Macaca mulatta: one gene and its partners. The protein of the gene in region 1 interacts with the protein of each later gene in a biochemical or structural test. Links are inferred from orthologs where the notes say so. Each region holds a gene or a part of one and is shown in the gene's direction. Other genes may lie near its edges. The genes, in order: HNF4A, SREBF2 and NCOA6.

Region 1 (6,306 bases):
CGACTTGGCCTCTCAAAGTGCTGGGATTACAGGTGTGAGCCACCATGCCCAGCCTCATTGTGGACTTTCATTAAGCATGAGATGACTATTACAAGTCCAAGTTGCCAAGGAGGCAGTTGAATGTATGAGTCTGCTGCTCAAGCACAAGATTAAAGGCAGCTCTGTGGAATCGGGGGAAGATGGAGCCATGGAGGGAAGGGAAGAAGAATGGCCGGAGGGGTAGGAGAAAACCAGGGCAATTCCAGAATCCAAGAGAAGAGCGTGTTTGAAGGACAGAGTGTTTAATGGTGTTACACTCTGCAGAGAGACAGAAAGAAGGAGGGAGGAATGGAGAGGTGAAGGGAGGAGGGGAAGAGAGAGGAAAGAGTCCATTGGATTGGCAGCTGGAGGCTCTTGGCAATTGTGTTGAAAGCAGTTTCAGAGAGCTGGGAGAGTGGAAACCAGATTGGAGAGTGCTCCAAAGACAGCAAGTGGGAAGGTGGAGATAGAGTAGATAACCCTTTGAAATGGTTTGACTGTGAAGGGGAGTATGAAGGAGTTAGGATGACTGCAAGGGAGTGATTAGAATGATAGGTCATGCAGTCTGGGCTGCACTCAAAGAGAAATAAAGACAGAGGCTGGGTGCGGTGGCTCACACCTGTAATCCTAGCACTTTGGGAGGCCGAGGCGGGTGGATCACTTGAGGCTAGGAGCTCAAGACCAACCTGGCCAACACAGCAAAACACCATCTCTACTAAAAATACAAAAAAAATTAGCCAGACGTGGTGGCATGCGCCTGTAATCCCAGCTACTCGGGAGACTGAGGCAGGACAATCGCTTGAACCCAGGAGACAGAGGTTGCAGTGAGCCGAGATTGTGACATTGCACTCCAGCATGTGTGACAGAGCAAGACTCTGTCTCAACAACAACAACAAAAGGATGGGGTGATAGTGAAAAGAGAGTGTCGGTGAATTGACAGCCTCAGTAGGCTGAAGAAGTTTTGCAGTGATGGTACTAGATTAAGGGAGCTGGAAGGACACAAGGTGAAGTCAAAGTAGGGATGTTGAATTCGAGATTTTGGAGGTGCTTCAGTGAGGGCGAGGTTTCTCAACACTGGTACTATTGATACTTGGAACTGGACGATTCTTTGTTGTGCTGGGCTGTCCTGTGCGTTGTTTGGCTGCATCTCTGTCCTGTACCCATAAGGTGCCAGTAGCACTTCTCCAGTAGTGACAACCAAAAATGTCTTCGGATATAGTCAAACGTCTCCTGATGGGCCAAAATCATCCCCAGTTGGGAACCACTGTTGTGTGATAGCTTATTTCATTCTCACTTTGACCCTGTGAACATGGGGTTACTATGAATCAGGTGTCACTGAGATTAGGATCAGGAGCCTGTGGTCTGTTGCCAAATAGTTAAGAGCTCTGGGCTTAGTTGTCTCATCTGTAGAATGGGCTAATAATAGTATCCATTCTATAGGATTGTTGTAAGGATTAAATTATGTAAAACATGAAAAGTGCTATACAACAGTACCTGGCACATGATAATTGTTAATTATCAACAGTCGTTATTTATCACTGAGATCGATGTGCTGTAGAGATCTCTTACAAGCATTGAAATTCCATCATTGTCATATTACTCACCATAGGCTATTATTAAACCATACCCCATGTGGTATTTTTACTCCCTGACACATGTTTAAAGCGGTTACTGTGTTCCAGACAATCTGCTAGGCTCTCAAAGAAAGAAGAAAAATACATCTGAAATTGTAATGCTCATAGACAGAAGAAGTAGTTGTTCCTAAAAGTTGTGTTACAGATAAATTACTATGAGAAATCCAAGGAATGAGAACGAGGAGAATCAGGAGAGGCTTCTAAAGAGAGGAAATATATGAGCTGGGATTTGGGCTTATGGACGTGGAGCGGGTTTGGGGTGGAAAAAACATCTCTGACGGAAGCTACAACGTGAGCAGAAGCATAGAGATAGGAAAACACAGGGGACACATAGATGCTATAAGTAGGTCAGTTGGCTGCAGCAGAGATGTGGGGGATGAGGCTGGAAGGTGAGGCGGGACCAAATGGTTGAAGGACTTGCACGCCAAGGAGCCTTGAGAGCCATTGATTACATCCAATACGCTACTCATTAGAACATTTACTTGATCTCAGAGCTTCCTTATAGGCACCTTGTTTCTTTCAACTCACTTTTGTTCTCTTGGTTTTTTGGGGCCTTCTTAACACCCTCATGAAGCCTACGAATGGGAATGGTACACCCTAGTTTACTAACCCAGGAATAGGTCCCCAACAGGCATTGCCAATATTGGATGGGCAGGTTGATTGGTCACACCTGAGGAAGATGGCGTCCCAAGGCCTGAGGTCTGCATCCCATACTCTTCATCTTGATCGATCTTCTCTTCCTGCAGGGTCCTCCAGCGATGCACCCCATGCCCACCACCCCCTGCACCCTCACCTGATGCAGGAACACATGGGAACCAATGTCATCGTTGCCAACACAATGCCCACTCACCTCAGCAATGGACAGATGTGTGAGTGGCCCCGACCCAGGGGGCAGGCAGGTGGGCAACCTCTGGGGCTCTACCTTGCAAAGGGTGAGGATGGGGCTTAAGAGAGGAAGCAGGAGAAGGTGGAGTCTAGAAGGTAGAACCAGGATGCAACAATTTTCTGGGTTCCAGGGTAGGGAATAAAGGGCAAGGTTGTCCGTTTGTTGAGGCTGTTTATTCAGTAAGGTGACTGACAACCTTTACTGAATGAAGCCATTGTTGGGATGAGGCAATCCACTGGATGAAGTAACCTATTGGGTGAAGATGTTCTTGGGTGAGAATCCCATTAGTTGACATTGTCCATTAGGTAAAAGTGATCATTGACGTAAGGCTGCTCAATTGGGTAAGGCTATCCATTAAACAATTAGATGAGACTATCCATTGGGTCAGGATGTCTGCTGGACTAGACCATCCTCTGAAACCTCCAAAGTGTAAACTTGTCATTGGGCAAGGCTCTTCAAAGAATAAGATTATCAATGGGATGAAGTGATCCACTGAGATGAGATGATATTTTACTGACGTTGTTCTTGGAGAAAGTTGTCCATTGAACAAAGATTGCCAATTGGGTCAAATTTGCTCTCCAAACCTGCCATGAGAGTGAGGCCAGTTTCTATTACTCATGTCCTAAATATCCAAGAAATGGTATTTTTTGAGCCAGTTGGCCCTGGGTCTCATCAGCTGCTGGCTCCTTCTCCCAGGAAAGAATATCCCTGTCACCCATCCCATTGCCGTTGGTGACAGCCAGGCCTGGGCCTTGGTTTCAGAGAAGCAGTTCAAGTCTGCATATCAAATAAATGATGGAGGAGATGGGTGGTGGGACCTTCCAGACCTCATAAAACTTAGGCTTTATGATCTGGGACTCACAGAAGGTTGAGTCATAAAAGACCTTGGGGATTATCTGGTTTAATTAATTCTCTCATTTTATAGAGGAAGAAATTAAGTCAAGGCGGGGCGGGCTGGGGGTTGGGGGGAGAATTTTCCCAGGGCTCTTCATTTACTCCCACAAAGGCTGGAATTTTGAGCAGCTCCTATCTGTCTGTTTGTCCTTCCAGCCACCCCTGAGACCCCACAGCCCTCACCGCCAGGTGGCTCAGGGTCTGAGCCCTACAAGCTCCTGCCAGGAGCCGTCGCCACAATCGTCAAGCCCCTCTCTGCCATCCCCCAGCCGACCATCACCAAGCAGGAAGTTATCTAGCAAGCCGCTGGGGCTTGGGGGCTCCGCTGGCTCCCCCCAGCCCCCTCAGAGAACGCCTGGTGATCACGTGGTCACGGCAAAGGAAGACGTGACGCCAGGACCAGTCCCAGAGCAGGAATGGGAAGGATAAAGGGCCCGAGAACATGGCCTAAGGGCCACATCCCACTGCCACCCTTGACACTCTGCTCTGGATAACGAGACTTTCACTTGGGAAGACGCCACTGGAAAGTCCTCTACTGCCTTGGACAACTTTTCTCATGTTGAAGCCACTGCCTTCACCTTCACCTTCATCCATTCGCTCCTCCTTCTGCTGCTGCCCCCACGTCAAACGCCCGTTTCCCTCTGCTGTCGCCTTGCTCAGCCATCCCGTCTTCTCCAGCACCACCTCTCCAGAGGCCAAGGAGGCCTTGAAAACGATTCCCCCAGTCATTCTGGGAGCATGTTGTAAGCACTGACTGGGGCCAGGCAGGGTCTAGAAGGCTGTGGTGAGGGAAGACACCTTTCTCCTCCAGCCCCACCGCACCCTCCTTCTTCAGGGACTTGGGTGGGTATTTGGGGTGAGGATCTCTGCAGACCTTCAACCCGAGAAAACAAGCCCAGGTTGGCAACTGCAACAGGAACTTGGAGTGGAGAGGAAAAGCATCAGAAGGAGGCAGACCATCCACTAGGCCTTTGAGAAAGGGTAGACTTCTGGCTGGTAGAGCGGGTGAGACGGGACATTCCAAAGAACAGCCTGAGCCAAGGCCTCGTGGTAGGAAGAATCTAGCAAGAATTGAGGAAGAATGGTGTGGGAAAGGGATGATGAAGAGAGAGAAGGCCTGCTGGAGAGCATAGGGTCTGGAATACCAGGCTGAGGCCCTGATCAGCGGCAAGGGGTATGCAGGGAGCTGGGCTTCCAGAAAATGAACACAGCAGTTCTGTAGAGGATGGGAGGCTGGGAGCTGGGAGGTCAGGTGGGGTGGATGATGTAATGCGGGTGAGAGTAATGAGGCTTGGGGCTGGAGAGGACAAGATGGGTAAACTCTCACATCAGAGTGACATCCAGGAGGAATGATCTCCCAGGGCCTGTCTCAAGCTCTTCCTTACTCCCAGGCACTGTCTTAAGGCATCTGATATGCATCATCTCATTTAATCCTCCCTTCCTCCCTATTAACCTAGAGATTGTTTTTGTTTTTTTATTCTCCTCCTCCCTCCCCACACTTACCCGCCCCTCCTAACCTAGAGATTGTTACAGAAGATGAAATTGCGTTCTAAGAGGTGAAGTGATTTTTTTTTCTGAAATTCACACAACTAGGAAGTGGCTGAGTCAGGACTTGAACCCAGGTCTCCCTGGATCAGAACAGGAGCTCTTAACGAGAGTGGCTGAATAACTTTTCCAAAGGCTCCCTTTGTTCTCACTGTGATCAAGTTGGGGGGCTTCTGGCTCCCTTCTCCAGCCTCAGAAACCGGACTCGTTCTTCTGGGAACTCTGCCCACTCCCAGGACCAAGACTGGCCTGAGGCTGCACTAAAATTCACTTAGGGTCGAGTATCCTGTTTGCTGATAAATATGTAGGAGAATTCATAACTCTTGAGAGCTTTTCTCTCTTCACTCCCCAAGTCTAGGGGAGGGGTGGCAGGGGTCTGTTTCCTGGGAGTCAGGTTCATCTGGCCTGTTGGCATGGGGGTGGGACAGTGTGTGCAGTGTGGGGGCACGGGAGGGCTAAGCAGGCCCGGGTTTGAGGCCTATTCTGGAGATCGTCACTCCAGGTGTATTCTGGAAACACTGGACCCTAGGATGGAGCATCCAGCATGTCATCCATGTGGAATCTTGGTGTCTTTGGGGACATTCTGGAAAATGCCACTGACCAGTGTGAACAAAAGGGATGTGTCCTGGGGCTGGAGGTGTGATTAGGTAGGAGGGAAACTGTTGGACCGACTCCTGCCCCCCGCTCAACACTGACCCCTCTGAGTGGATGGAGGCAGTGCCCCAGTGCCCAGAAATCCCACCATTAGTGATTGTTTTTTATGAGAAAGAGGCATGGAGAAGTATTGGGGCGAGTGTCAGAGAGGAATCACCGCATCCCTACAGCAGTCCCAGCCAAACCCCCAGTCCCAGGAGAGACTGTGCCCTGCTCAAAGCTCCCTAGCCTTCCTCCACCACCTCATTCAAGTGCCCCTGAAATCTCCTCCAGATAGCTCAGCCTGGTCTGCGGTAAGGCAGGGAGGCTGGAACCATTTCCCGGCATTGTGGTCATTCCCACTCTGTTCCTCCACCTCCTCCCTCCAGCGTTGCTCAGGCCTCTGTCACGGGAGCAAGGTTGAGATAAGAATGTGCCATGGCGTGCAGAGGGCAACAGTGGCCCTTCATGGGAACAATCTTTTGGAGCAGGGGGTCAGTTCTCTGCTGGGAATCTACCCCTTTCTGGAGAAGAAACCCATTCCACTTTAATAACTTTATTGTAATGTGAGAAACACAAAACAAAGTTTACTTTTTTGACTCTAAGCTGACATATTAGAAAATCTCTCTCTCTCTCTTTTTTTTTTTTTTTTTTTTTTTTGGCCACTTGAGTTGTGGTCCTAAAACATAAAATCTG
Region 2 (6,306 bases), about 88 Mb from region 1:
AATGGCCCTGATTGAGAGTGTCACTTCTGCCCTTAAGCTTTTTGATGGCGAAATTGTATAAAGAAATGCAGTAATTTGCTTAATTGTCATTTGAGAGGAAAAAATGTGTCATACACTAGGAGGAAGTTTTCTCCGGTACCAACTCGTGGTTCACCGTGTAGAAGTTTAGAAGTGGTTAACAGTTTGACAGCACAGCAGAAATCATGACTTGTTTCTGGCATACCTAGATCAAAACTTAAAACATATTTAGCCATGTTAATCCTCTTGTGTAGTTTATCAGTGTTGATTCTGAAGGTAGGTAGTAACCGAGGTGCCGTGGCTCCTGAGGCGTCTTGGGGCCTGATTTGATTAACTCAGGAAGAGTCTTAGACCTCATGAAGTACTGCCAGGTCTGGCAACACTTGGCCAGGGTAGGCAGGTCTGTGTTGAGGTTGCTTTATGCAGACTAACAAAGGGTTCATTCTGCTCTGTACCTGTGCCTATTCTAGACCCTGGTGGGCAGCAGTGGGACCATTCTGACCACAATGCCTGTAATGATGGGGCAAGAGAAAGTGCCCATTAAGCAGGTACCTGGGGGAGTCAAGCAGCTTGAGCCCCCCAAAGAAGGAGAAAGGCGGACAACCCACAATATCATTGAGAAACGATATCGCTCCTCCATCAATGACAAAATCATCGAATTGAAAGACCTGGTCATGGGGACAGACGCCAAGGTGGGTGCCAAGCAAAATCGTGTTTTATGTTCCACCATGTCCCCTCTACCTGTTTTTGCTTCAGGAGCTTAGAGAAGTCCCAGACTCAAGGTAAGTGAATACAAGACCAAGTTAGAGGTACTTTTTTATTAAAGCATCTTGGTATTGTGTCAAGATTATAAAATATTAAAAACCAGAAGGGTACTGGTGAGGGTTGATGAGGCAGTGACCCACTGAGACCTTTGACTCCTTCGGCTGTGCTCTGCAGTGATGGGGGACTCCACTGTCAGAGGCAGAGAAAGATGCCTGCCACTCAGTAGTTCCAGATACAGGACTGTGTGTGCCTTGGAGTCAGCTGATGGCATCGTTTTAGCTGTGTTTAGGGGTTACCTTTTAGGGAAAAGAAAGAAAAAAGAGGTTGAGTCTTTGACCAGCAACAAATAGAGGAAATTGATTTTCCAAATGTTTCTGGTGTTTTCACTGAATGTGTCTTCTGGAAAGTAGGAGATTTTATTTTTAAAACCTATCTATGTTTAAACCCTATTTTGAAAGAAAATTTCATTATTTTCCTTGTTGCCTACAAATCTGAAAAGTATGCATCCTAAGTAAAAATCTATGCCTTAAGATAACTGTCCAGGCCAGGTGCTGTGGCTCACGCCTGTAATCGCAGCACTTTGGGAAGCTGAGGCGGGTGGATCACGAGGGCAGGGGTTCAAGACCAGCCTGGTCAACATGGTGAAACCCCATCTCTACTAAAAATACAAACAATTAGCCAGGTGTGGTGGCAGGCGCCTGTAATCCCAGCTACTCAGGAGGCTGAGGCAGGAGAATTGCTTGAACCTGGGAGGCGGAGGTTGCAGTGAGCCGAGATGGTGCCATTGTACTCCAGCCTGGGCAACAAGAGTGAAACTCTGTCTTGGGAAAAAAAAAAAAAAAAAAAAAGATAGCTGTCCAACAATGCTGTGGTGTTTTGTCATTTGTTTTCCTTAAAGTTTGTTTTTATGCTAGGATTATTGTAAGAAGTAGGAACAATAGCTAATATTTATTGAGTGTCAACTGTTTGCCAGGCTCGGGGCTAAGCTCTTTACACTCATTATCTGATTTAGCCAGGCTGCAAGCCTGTGATTCACGGACTCTCATTATCTCTGTGTTAATGAGGTGGAAAGTGAGGTTCAGAGGTATGGAGTAACTTCTCCCGAGTGGCACAGCTAATCGTTGGGAGGGCCAGCATCTGAACTTGGTTTCTCCCCTCACAGAGCCATGCTGTCATCCCAAGTGCTAGGGCTCTGCTCTTTTCACCCTGTAGCCTGCACTGGTCTCACTGTGTTTTTGCTTATCTTCCTACCCAGATGCACAAGTCTGGCGTTCTGAGGAAGGCCATTGATTACATCAAATACTTGCAGCAGGTCAATCATAAACTGCGCCAGGAGAACATGGTGCTGAAGCTGGCAAATCAAAAGAACAGTAAGTGTGCTGAGAGCAGGGTTGTCCCCCGGCCCGGCTAGGGCTTTGTAAAGGCAGATCATTTTCACCAGGTGGGGTTTTCTTTGCAGAGCTTCTAAAGGGCATCGACCTAGGCAGTCTGGTGGACACTGAGGTGGACCTGAAGATCGAGGACTTTAATCAGAATGTCCTTCTGATGTCCCCCCCAGCCTCTGACTCAGGGTCACAGGCTGGCTTCTCTCCTTACTCCATTGACTCTGAGCCAGGAAGCCCTCTGTTGGATGATGCAAAGGTACAGACTTTTGAAATCTTCTGATCCTTGGAATCTTTCCCATTTCCCCTAAGAAAGTAGCTGGGAGGTCACAGTTATGAGGCCAGGCTGCATGTTCAGAGGGCCTAGCCTGGAGAGAAACAGGAATTCTGTGAAATTAACCAGGTGCTGGAGAATAAAGAAAAAGAAAACTGACTCTGGGGGGAAACAGTCCCTCAGGTTTAACTGGTCCTTGCTAATAGGCCCCGTCAGAGAGTAATGAGTGCCAGATCCAGAACAGGAATGCGGAGTAGCTGTTGTGGGGGCGTTGGGAGCTGCTGAAGGCACCTCATTGCTTCACTCTGCCTTTAATGGGCCTGGCAAGACCACTTTGGGAGGCTGATCAATTCGTTTAGGATGAGGCTGCCTCTGGGTCCTCTTTTCAGAAATGATTACAATTTGCAGTCTAACAGATAACATTTTATCTACGGGCCTTTAATCGTCCAAGAAAGCCCCTGGCAATGGTAGTTTAATGGAATTACTTAAGAGAGGCTCTGAGCCTAATGATCTTCCTGGGAACCTGTAGAGACCACTGGGTTCTGTACTGTATTTTGACTTTGGCAGTTTCTGACTCTGTAAGCACAAAGTTCCCTTCTAGTGTTTGTTTTTGACTAAGCTGTTTATTGTATCACATACTTAATTTTACTAAGGATGCTCTGTTTTTGAAATATTCTTATAGATGTGATTCTGTTTGGCAACAACAGGCTGTTTGACATATAAATTGAATTAGCTCGGCTTCTGAGTCATCAGAAGAATGGTTTTAAAATATTGAAAAGAAATGACATGCTATATACACATTGGGGCACAGGGGAGATCTGGCTCCAGCCCTCCTGCTCTAAAATGGAGAGTGGGGTGGGTGTAGACAATGGTACTGTTTTAGAACAGGTAAAATATCCTTTAGATAGATTCACACTAAATATGATTTTTGATCAACTTTATTGAGGTATAATTTAAATGCAATAAAATATACCTACTTTAAATGTACAGTACCAAGAGTTTTAACATAATGTACAGTGCTATGTAACTGTCACTATAATCAAGATATAGAACATTTCCATCACCCCAAAAAGCTCTTTTGTACACCTTTGCAGGTAGTTTCCCACACCCCTCTCCAGCCTCAGACAATTACTTGATTCATCAGTTTCCTGTTACTTTAGATTCATTTTGCCTGTTCTGGAATTATACAGAAACAGAATCATACAGTGTGTTCTCTTTTGTGGTAGAGCTCTATTTTAAAAGAAAATCTCTTCTACCTTTGTTCTTTGGCACATGTACTTTTCTCAGTTAGCAAGCAGGTGAATGTGCCAATGTTTGAGCAGCAGTTAGTGAATTATAGGCCTCTCAATTCCCATCTGGCCTTAGTCCTGAGTTAATAGACTTGAATTTAAACCTCATAACCATTTCTCAATATATATATGTATTTATAAAGTGCTGTAAAAACCTATGCAGTATTTATTCCAACCTCGAGGCCTTGTTTTGAAGGTCAAAGATGAGCCGGACTCTCCTCCTGTGGCACTGGGCATGGTAGACCGCTCACGGATTCTTCTGTGTGTCCTCACCTTCCTGTGCCTCTCCTTTAACCCCCTGACTTCCCTGCTGCAGTGGGGAGGGGCTCACGACTCTGACCAGCACCCACACTCAGGCTCTGGCCGCAGTGTCCTGTCATTTGAGTCAGGTAAGTGGTGGCCCCTTACACCACCTGGGCATGGCTGGACCACTATGGCAGGAGAAGGACCCTGTGTACAAACTTCTTGGCTTGGCTACCAGGTCCCAAAGGGGTTTTATAGTGGGCCCCTACCTGCTTGCTTCTGATAGGGACTGGCATAAGTTCCGTTTTGGAAGTAACAAGGCAAGCCCAAGTTCAGTCAGAATGAGCAAAACAAATCAGGGACCCACACTACTCTAAATACCCTGGCGTGGAGGGGTGGTACCTATTTGAAGGAGGATATGGTGTTTTTTACCTGAGGTTGCAAAACCAATGCCTTAACCCTTTCAAGCTAACAAAGATTTTTGTGGCACTCAGCTCCATAATGACAAGGGCTACAGTCATTAGCCCCGTTTAGATTATAGAATTATTCACCCTTTCTTCTGAAAATACGGTAGAAGACTCGTTCCTGTGATAGTGCTGGGGTCTGTCAGGTGCCTGGCTGTTCCGCAAGGCCTTTCCTGGCAGGCTCTGCTGAGACACTCCTTCTTAGGTTCTGGGGGCTGGTTTGACTGGATGATGCCTACTCTTCTCTTATGGCTGGTAAATGGTGTGATTGTCCTGAGCGTCTTTGTGAAGCTGCTGGTCCATGGGGAGCCAGTGATCCGGCCACACTCCCGCTCCTCGGTCACCTTCTGGAGGCACCGGAAACAGGCAGACCTGGATCTCGCCAGAGTGAGTTCTGTGTCCGCCCTTCCCCATCCTCCCCTAGACTTGACCAATAATTCAGCAACTCATGTCGAAGAAAGTCCTATGATAGATACTTGTGGTAACTGAAAGGAAAAAGGGACCCTGCTGCTGAACAGTCACAGGGCAGTGGAGAGGGCGCCTCTGCATAGATAATTAATTCCAGGGACATGAGATGATCTATGTCTCTGGTATGACAGAGGAATAATAAAGTTGGGTTCTGAGGGAGGGGTTCCAGGGCTTGATCGGGGCTGCCAAGAGCAGGAAGGAAGGGCGGAGGTGGCCGAAGGACCCACCCAAAGGCATGAATAGACAGGCTATTTGGTGACTGGCAGGTTCCAGGGTATGTTAAGTGTAGGGTGTGTCACAGAGAGTTGAAGGCAAAGGCTGGTAGTGTGTCTAGGCCCAAATTGGAGAGGGCTTTCACTGGGAACTGATTTGGGGCTTTATTCCCAATTCTTTATAGAACCAGGGAAGGTTTTTGAGCAGGAAAACTAGCTGAAAGTTTTCATTTGAAATCAACAGGGAGTTTATGGAAAAAATTCTGGGGCAACTCACAGCATTGAGGAAGAGTTAAACATCCACATTTTAAGAGGAACAAGAACCAGAACACTCCTCAGCAGCAGTGAGCCATGGGCATGCCCTCCCCACCTCTGCAAGCTGCAGAGCCATTAGTGAGAATCTGATTGGCCATCCTGGATCTGTCAGCCTTGCTGGGGCTACGGGTCTCAGAATGTAGATGTGATTTTAAGAGGCCTGTTCCCTGAGCATAACATCCCAAGATGTATATCCTAGAGGCAGGTTCAGGTGTGTGTTTTATAAGCATCATTCTGGTGGCTGTGAAGGATAGGTAGAAGGGAGATGTGAAATGAATGGAACATGGAAACAAGTTAGGGTGCTCTTTTTTAAGTAGAGACAAGGTCTCACTATGTTGTCTGGCTGGTCCCAAACTCCTAGGCTCAAGTGATCCTCTCACCTTGACCTCCCAAAATGTTGGGATTATAGGCATGAGCCACCACGCCTGGCTGAGTCAGGGGGCTCTATGAAATAGGCTGACTAAGAGATGATGGCAAGGACCTGGAATTAAAAGGAAAAGTTTGAACTGAATAAATATTTGAAATGTAGTATTTGGAAGGGAAGTGATAGTGACATTGACTCAAGGGTAAGAGAGGCTCCAAAATGGAGTGGACTCCATCTAGGCCATGTTGCCTGGAAAAGCTGGAAGAGGCCTCTGTAGAGTGAGCAGTGATTGGGAGGCAGGCCATGGGGATGGAGGAGTGGCGGGGCCAGAGTATTTGAGAAGCTTGTCTGTCAGGAGAGGATTCTTAGGGAGAACTGGACTGGGGAGTCAGGAGGGGTGAGAGCCAAAGACTGGGACTTGGGAATAGCGCACCTTTGAGGGAAAGGCAGGGGAGGAGCCAGGGAACACCTGCCTCCTTTTGAATCTTCAAGTTTCAGATACTTCTGACGGA
Region 3 (6,306 bases), about 9.7 Mb from region 1:
AATGGTCTATCAGGAGAGCCCGCAGAATCCTTCCAGCTCGCCACTGGCGGAGATGGCCTCGCTCCCTGAAGCAAGTGGCAGTGAAGCACCATCTGTCCCAGGAGGCCCAAACAACATGCCTTCACATGTAGTACTTCCCCAGAATCAGTTAATGATGACAGGGCCAAAACCTGGACCATCGCCCCTTTCAGCAACTCAAGGTGCAACTCCCCAGCAACCCCCTGTAAATTCTCTGCCCAGCTCTCATGGCCACCACTTTCCAAATGTGGCCGCGCCAACCCAGACATCTAGGCCCAAAACACCAAACAGAGCCAGCCCCAGACCCTATTATCCTCAGACACCCAACAACCGCCCTCCCAGCACAGAACCTTCAGAAATCAGTCTGTCACCAGAAAGACTCAATGCTTCCATAGCAGGACTCTTCCCTCCACAGATTAATATTCCTTTACCTCCTAGGCCAAATTTAAACAGGGGCTTTGATCAACAAGGCCTAAATCCAACAACTTTGAAGGCCATCGGGCAAGCACCTTCAAATCTTACCATGAATCCTTCCAATTTTGCTGCCCCACAAACTCACAAATTAGATTCTGTGGTAGTGAATTCTGGAAAGCAGTCTAATTCTGGAGCAACAAAACGGGCAAGTCCAAGCAACAGTCGCAGGTCTAGTCCTGGGGCCAGTAGGAAAACCACTCCAAGCCCCGGGAGGCAAAATTCAAAAGCCCCTAAACTTACTCTGGCCTCTCAGACAAATGCAGCCCTGTTGCAGAATGTGGAGTTGCCGAGAAATGTATTGGTCAGTCCCGCTCCTCTGGCCAATCCCCCTGTACCTGGGAGCTTTCCTAACAACAGTGGGCTGAATCCTCAGAATCCTACTGTGTCTGTGGCTGCAGTTGGGGGTGTTGTTGAGGATAACAAGGAGAGCTTGAATGTGCCTCAGGACAGTGATTGCCAGAATTCCCAGGGTAGGAAGGAACAGGTAAACATTGAACTAAAAGCAGTCCCTGCCCAAGAAGTTAAAATGGTTGTCCCTGAAGATCAATCCAAAAAGGATGGGCAGCCTTCGGATCCTAACAAACTTCCCAGTGTCGAAGAGAACAAAAATTTGGTGTCTCCTGCTATGAGGGAAGCACCAACATCGTTAAGTCAACTTCTTGACAACTCTGGAGCTCCCAATGTGACAATTAAACCCCCTGGGCTTACAGATCTGGAAGTAACACCTCCAGTAGTTTCTGGGGAGGACCTCAAAAAAGCATCTGTCATTCCCACACTGCAGGATCTGTCTTCTTCTAAAGAACCCTCTAATTCCCTAAACTTACCTCACAGTAATGAGCCGTGTTCAACCCTTGGGCATCCCGAATTGAGTGAGGTCAGTTCTAACGTTGCACCAAGCATCCCTCCAGTAATGTCAAGACCTGTTAGCTCTTCCTCCATTTCCACTCCTTTGCCCCCAAATCAAATAACTGTATTTGTCACTTCCAATCCCATCACAACTTCAGCTAATACATCAGCAGCTTTGCCAACTCACTTGCAGTCTGCATTGATGTCAACAGTTGTCACAATGCCCAATGTGGGTAGCAAGGTTATGGTTTCTGAGGGACAGTCAGCTGCTCAGTCTAATGCCCGGCCTCAGTTCATTACACCTGTCTTTATCAATTCATCCTCAATAATTCAGGTTATGAAAGGATCACAGCCAAGCACAATTCCTGCAGCCCCACTGACAACCAACTCTGGCCTGATGCCGCCCTCTGTTGCAGTTGTTGGCCCTTTACACATACCTCAGAACATAAAGTTTTCTTCTGCTCCTGTACCGCCTAATGCTCCCTCCAGTAGTCCTGCTCCAAACATCCAGACAGGTCGACCTTTGGTCCTTAGCTCACGAGCCACCCCTGTTCAGCTTCCTTCCCCTCCTTGTACGTCTTCTCCAGTAGTCCCTCCTCATCCCCCTGTCCAGCAAGTGAAAGAATTGAATCCAGATGAGGCTAGCCCTCAGGTGAACACCTCAGCAGATCAGAACACTCTTCCCTCTTCACAGTCAACCACAATGGTTTCTCCCCTTTTGACCAATAGTCCAGGGTCCTCTGTCAACCGGCGAAGCCCAGTCTCGTCTAGTAAGGGCAAAGGAAAAGTGGACAAAATTGGCCAAATTTTGTTGACCAAGGCGTGTAAGAAAGTTACAGGCTCTCTTGAGAAAGGGGAAGAACAATATGGTGCAGATGGAGAGACTGAAGGCCAAGGGCTAGACACCACAGCTCCGGGGCTCGTGGGAACAGAGCAGTTACCCACAGAGCTGGACAGTAAAACCCCAACGCCCCCAGCACCCACTCTGCTAAAAATGACCTCTAGCCCCGTGGGCCCGGGCACTGCCTCAGCAGGACCCAGCTTACCTGGCGGTGCTCTCCCCACCAGTGTACGCTCGATAGTAACCACTCTGGTACCCTCCGAGCTCATCTCTGCCGTAACGACCACAAAAAGCAATCATGGTGGCATAGCATCTGAGCCACTTGCGGGTGGCCTAGTGGAGGAGAAGGTGGGATCCCATCCAGAACTTCTACCCAGCATAGGTATGTACTTGGGGCTTCATCATCTCTTTGTGTCAGTTTTTTGATGACCTAATCCCACAAGAGAAAGCATGACTCGTTTTTTACTTGGAGGAGAGTGGGCTAAATGGAAGTAGTTTTATTTATTGAAAGTACGTTGGAAAATATGCTTTTAAATCCCATGTTAAGTTTGCATTCATTAAAGAGAGCTAAGGGCCGGGTGCGGTGGCTCATGCCTGTAATCCCAACACTTTGGGAGGCCGAGGCGGGCGGATCACTTGAGGTCAGGAGTTCAAGACCAGCCTGGCCAACATGGTGAAACTCCATCTCTACTAAAAATACAAAAATTAGCCAGGCATGATGGCACACACCTGTAATCTCAGCTACTCAGGAGGCTGAGGCAGGAGAATCGCTTGAACCTGGGAGCAGAGGTTGCAGTGAGCCGAGATCACGCCACTGTACTCCAGCCTGGGCAACAGAGCGAGACTCTGTCTCAAAAAAAAACAAAGAGAGCTAAGGCTCTCAAAACAAAGAGCTCCTGAAATAATGACACCTTTCATTTATATAAAAGTTTTTCAATTTACAAGGAAGCATTTTTACATATGTTGTCTTGCATCATCTTTATACCAACCATATCAGATATTCTTAATCCCATTGTATGGGTGAGAAGACTGAAGCTCAAAGAAGTTCAGTGTTTGTTCAGAGTCTATACTGTGAACCTCCCATTTAACACTGTACCTTACGTGTGAACAGCAGCTTCTGCAGATTCTCTTTACCAGGGTGAAGATTTGCTCATGACTTTCAGAACAATGGGTCCTCATTCTCATTGTACTCTATCTCAGGAACCATTCTTTTTTTGTCTGGGCTACTCTAGAGGAGAGCTAGAAGAAAACTGGGTTTCATGATAGTGGACACGGCAGAAACAAAGTGGTCAAGAGCCTGTAGGCTTGGGTTGGTATTATAACACCAGCATTTACCAGCTCTGTGGACTTGGGCAAGTTACCTGACCACTCCAGACTTTGGTTTCCTCCTTTGTAATATGGAACAATAATAGTTGTAAGAATTCAATAAGGTAGTACATATAACATTCTTAGCACAGAACCTAGCATATAATTATTCAATAAGTGGTAAAAATTGTTATTCCCAGTTTTTTTTTTATGTAATCTCTTTGTTGATTGGTGCATTCCATTTGCGTGTATCTAGTTCAGGCTATTTCCTATGTACTGTTAAAATGGGCTAATGATGGAAGCATAGGTGTCCTTACAACCGCCCCTCCTTCCCTTCTTCCCTTCCCCTACATGATTCTCCTCCTGTGAGGCTTAAGTGAAGAAGCTCTATTTCCTCAGAGTGGAGTCAGTCACACACTGCTAGAGCTGAGAAAGACCTTTGCAATATCCTAGGCCAGCTAATTAAGTGCCTATCTTATTTATGCAGCTAAAATGCTTCGAGTGCCTACCACTGAGTGGTAAGCACCCAGGTGGAGAGGCAGAAAGAACACAAGCTTCAGGGTAAGATCAGAGTTCAAATTCTAGCCCACTGGTTACCAGTTACAGTTGATACATTCCTTAACCTCTCCTAAGCCATGTACTTCACTTGTAAAATGGAGATTGTACATTCTACCTCCCAGAATTTAGGATTCTGAGAGAGGACTCAATGAGAAAGTTTGTCAAGTGGCCAACACACTGCCTCACACCGAGCTCTGGAAAGGTTATTTCCCCTTCTCTCTGCCTCTTGACCTCAGTGTTAGAGATATGGGGGCAGGATAAAGGCCTTCAAGGAGTTTGCTGCTCTTATAGGAGACAGTCTTCACAAGACTGGGTGCTTATTCTATCTTGTTCTAGTTCTGTTGGTGTAGATGAACCTTAATAATTAAAAGGGAACCTGCTGTAAATTAAGTATATCCTTCACTATTAATTAAATATTTCCACTTCTCCTTTCAGGAGACTTTTCCCTCTGGTATCAAGAGAAAAATGATGAAGTAATTAGAAATTTTTTTTATCTGGATCATATATTATACTAGAGAAATATGTGAGCCTTGAGGAGATGAACCACACTTGGAAAAAGTTCTCAATTTTAGTTAAGAATACTCACTTTGCTTATAAGTGATTATTTCTATTCTTTTTCAAGGGACTTCTGTGCTTTTACTTTGAAAATGTGAGAAATTGGCCAGGCGCAGTGGCTTATGCCTATAATCTCAGCATGTTGAGAGGCTGAGGCAGGTGGATCACTTGAGCCCAGGAGTTTGAGACCATCCCGGGCAACAAGGCAAAACCCTATCTCTACAAAAATATATATATATAAATTAGCCGGGCATGGTGGCATGCACCTGTGGTCCCAGCTACTCAGAAGGCTGAGGCGGGAGGATTGCTTGAACCCACGAGGCGGAGGTTGTGGTGAGCCGAGATCCTGCCATTGTGCTACAGCCTGGGCGACAGAGCAAGTCTGTCTCAGAAGAAAAAGAAAAGGAAATTTGAGAAATGAACACTAAAGTTAAAAGTAGAAGTTAAGATACAGTTTTAAGGTTTATCAGATGAGCATCCAAAATAAATTCTTATACATAAATGCCTAATTTACTGCTTTAATAAGCAGGGAGAAAAATATACAAAATTCACAGTTTCCACAAGAGAGTAAAACGTATTGTCGCAGAGTTTATCTAGGATTTTAGACTGAGGTGTCAAGATGTGACTGTGGCATATCCACGCCATAATCTTTACTGTATCTTCCAGGATGGTTCCCTTCTAGAGTGCATTATGTATTTTATTCCATTCCTTAAGGGCCTAAGTTCTCTGTGTCCTTTGAAGCCTGATTCTGATGTTTCTCCCTTTAATGTGCCTCCAGATTTCTCAACCTAGAATTGCTAACCCTTGCTTTGGACTTTTGTAGTATTTTATACTTTGTGACTCCTTCATATGAAATCAGAGTGCACTCAAGTGCACCACATGTATGTATCTTATCTTTAATACTAGACTGAGTTCCTGATGTGCAAGAGGATGTAGTTTGGTCTCTCAGGGTACCTGGCACAGTGTCTTGCCCCTAGTAAGTTCTTCGCAACTATTTGTTAGATAAGTAAATAACATATGAAATTTATTTATTTATTACGTATGAATTGAATGCCTGCTTTATGCCCATCACTTTTGCTGAGTGCTGTAGAAAAGTACAAAACTATGTGACCATTTCCACTCTCATGGAGTATAGTCTTTAGGGAGTAAGACTAGATTTTTTAAATGCTGAGGGGAATGTATAATTGTACCTCTATGGTTTGGGTTGCCTACTAAGGTATGCTTTGGGACTTTTTCGAGTAGTGTTCAGAACCTGACCCCAAGAAGCAGAAAATATGAGTGCTGTGTTCTTATAGCCATCTCCTTCCCTTATTATTATACATACCAAAAGGAAAAGCTTATACCCCTAAATGGTAGTCATTGGTACTGAGTGTTATGGTAATTAATTTTTTTAGTAAGTCTTAAAATGTACTTGTAATTTCGAGGCCAATTTTGAGTACTGCCCTCTAAGAGTATATTGTTTCAGCAGTTACTTAGCCCTTGATTAGGTTAATGCTTTCTTTTTGTTTAGAAAAGAAAGTAAAAGGTCTGTAATTTTTTTTTCCTTGCCTTAGCCCCGTCGCAGAATTTAGTCTCAAAGGAAACTTCAACCACAGCACTGCAGGCCTCTGTTGCCAGACCAGGTAAGGTGTACTTTGGAAAAACATCTTGGAGTGGGATGGGTTACATGTGAAGGAACTACTGCTGTCCTCAGCATCATGTGTTCTTAT

What was found.
Region 2: the proteins of HNF4A (region 1) and SREBF2 form a complex in vitro, tested with the Homo sapiens proteins (2 studies listed by BioGRID and IntAct). The link is inferred for Macaca mulatta from reciprocal best matches to the Homo sapiens genes HNF4A and SREBF2.
Region 3: the proteins of HNF4A (region 1) and NCOA6 form a complex in vitro, tested with the Homo sapiens proteins (2 studies listed by BioGRID). The link is inferred for Macaca mulatta from reciprocal best matches to the Homo sapiens genes HNF4A and NCOA6.

The regions. Positions count from the first base shown.
Region 1 is NC_133415.1:97,261,931-97,268,236, forward strand, and holds part of HNF4A (hepatocyte nuclear factor 4-alpha), read left to right. Parts: intron 1-2,398; coding exon 2,399-2,551; intron 2,552-3,585; exon of another isoform or gene 3,586-3,588; coding exon 3,589-3,731; 3' UTR 3,732-6,306. UniProt on the Homo sapiens protein: Transcriptional regulator which controls the expression of hepatic genes during the transition of endodermal cells to hepatic progenitor cells, facilitating the recruitment of RNA pol II to the promoters of target genes. Activates the transcription of CYP2C38.
Region 2 is NC_133415.1:9,624,896-9,631,201, reverse strand, and holds part of SREBF2 (sterol regulatory element-binding protein 2), read left to right. Parts: intron 1-488; coding exon 489-710; intron 711-2,038; coding exon 2,039-2,153; intron 2,154-2,242; coding exon 2,243-2,424; intron 2,425-3,924; coding exon 3,925-4,117; intron 4,118-4,640; coding exon 4,641-4,822; intron 4,823-6,306.
Region 3 is NC_133415.1:87,523,846-87,530,151, reverse strand, and holds part of NCOA6 (nuclear receptor coactivator 6), read left to right. Parts: coding exon 1-2,561; intron 2,562-6,150; coding exon 6,151-6,219; exon of another isoform or gene 6,220-6,249; intron 6,250-6,306. UniProt on the Homo sapiens protein: Nuclear receptor coactivator that directly binds nuclear receptors and stimulates the transcriptional activities in a hormone-dependent fashion. Coactivates expression in an agonist- and AF2-dependent manner.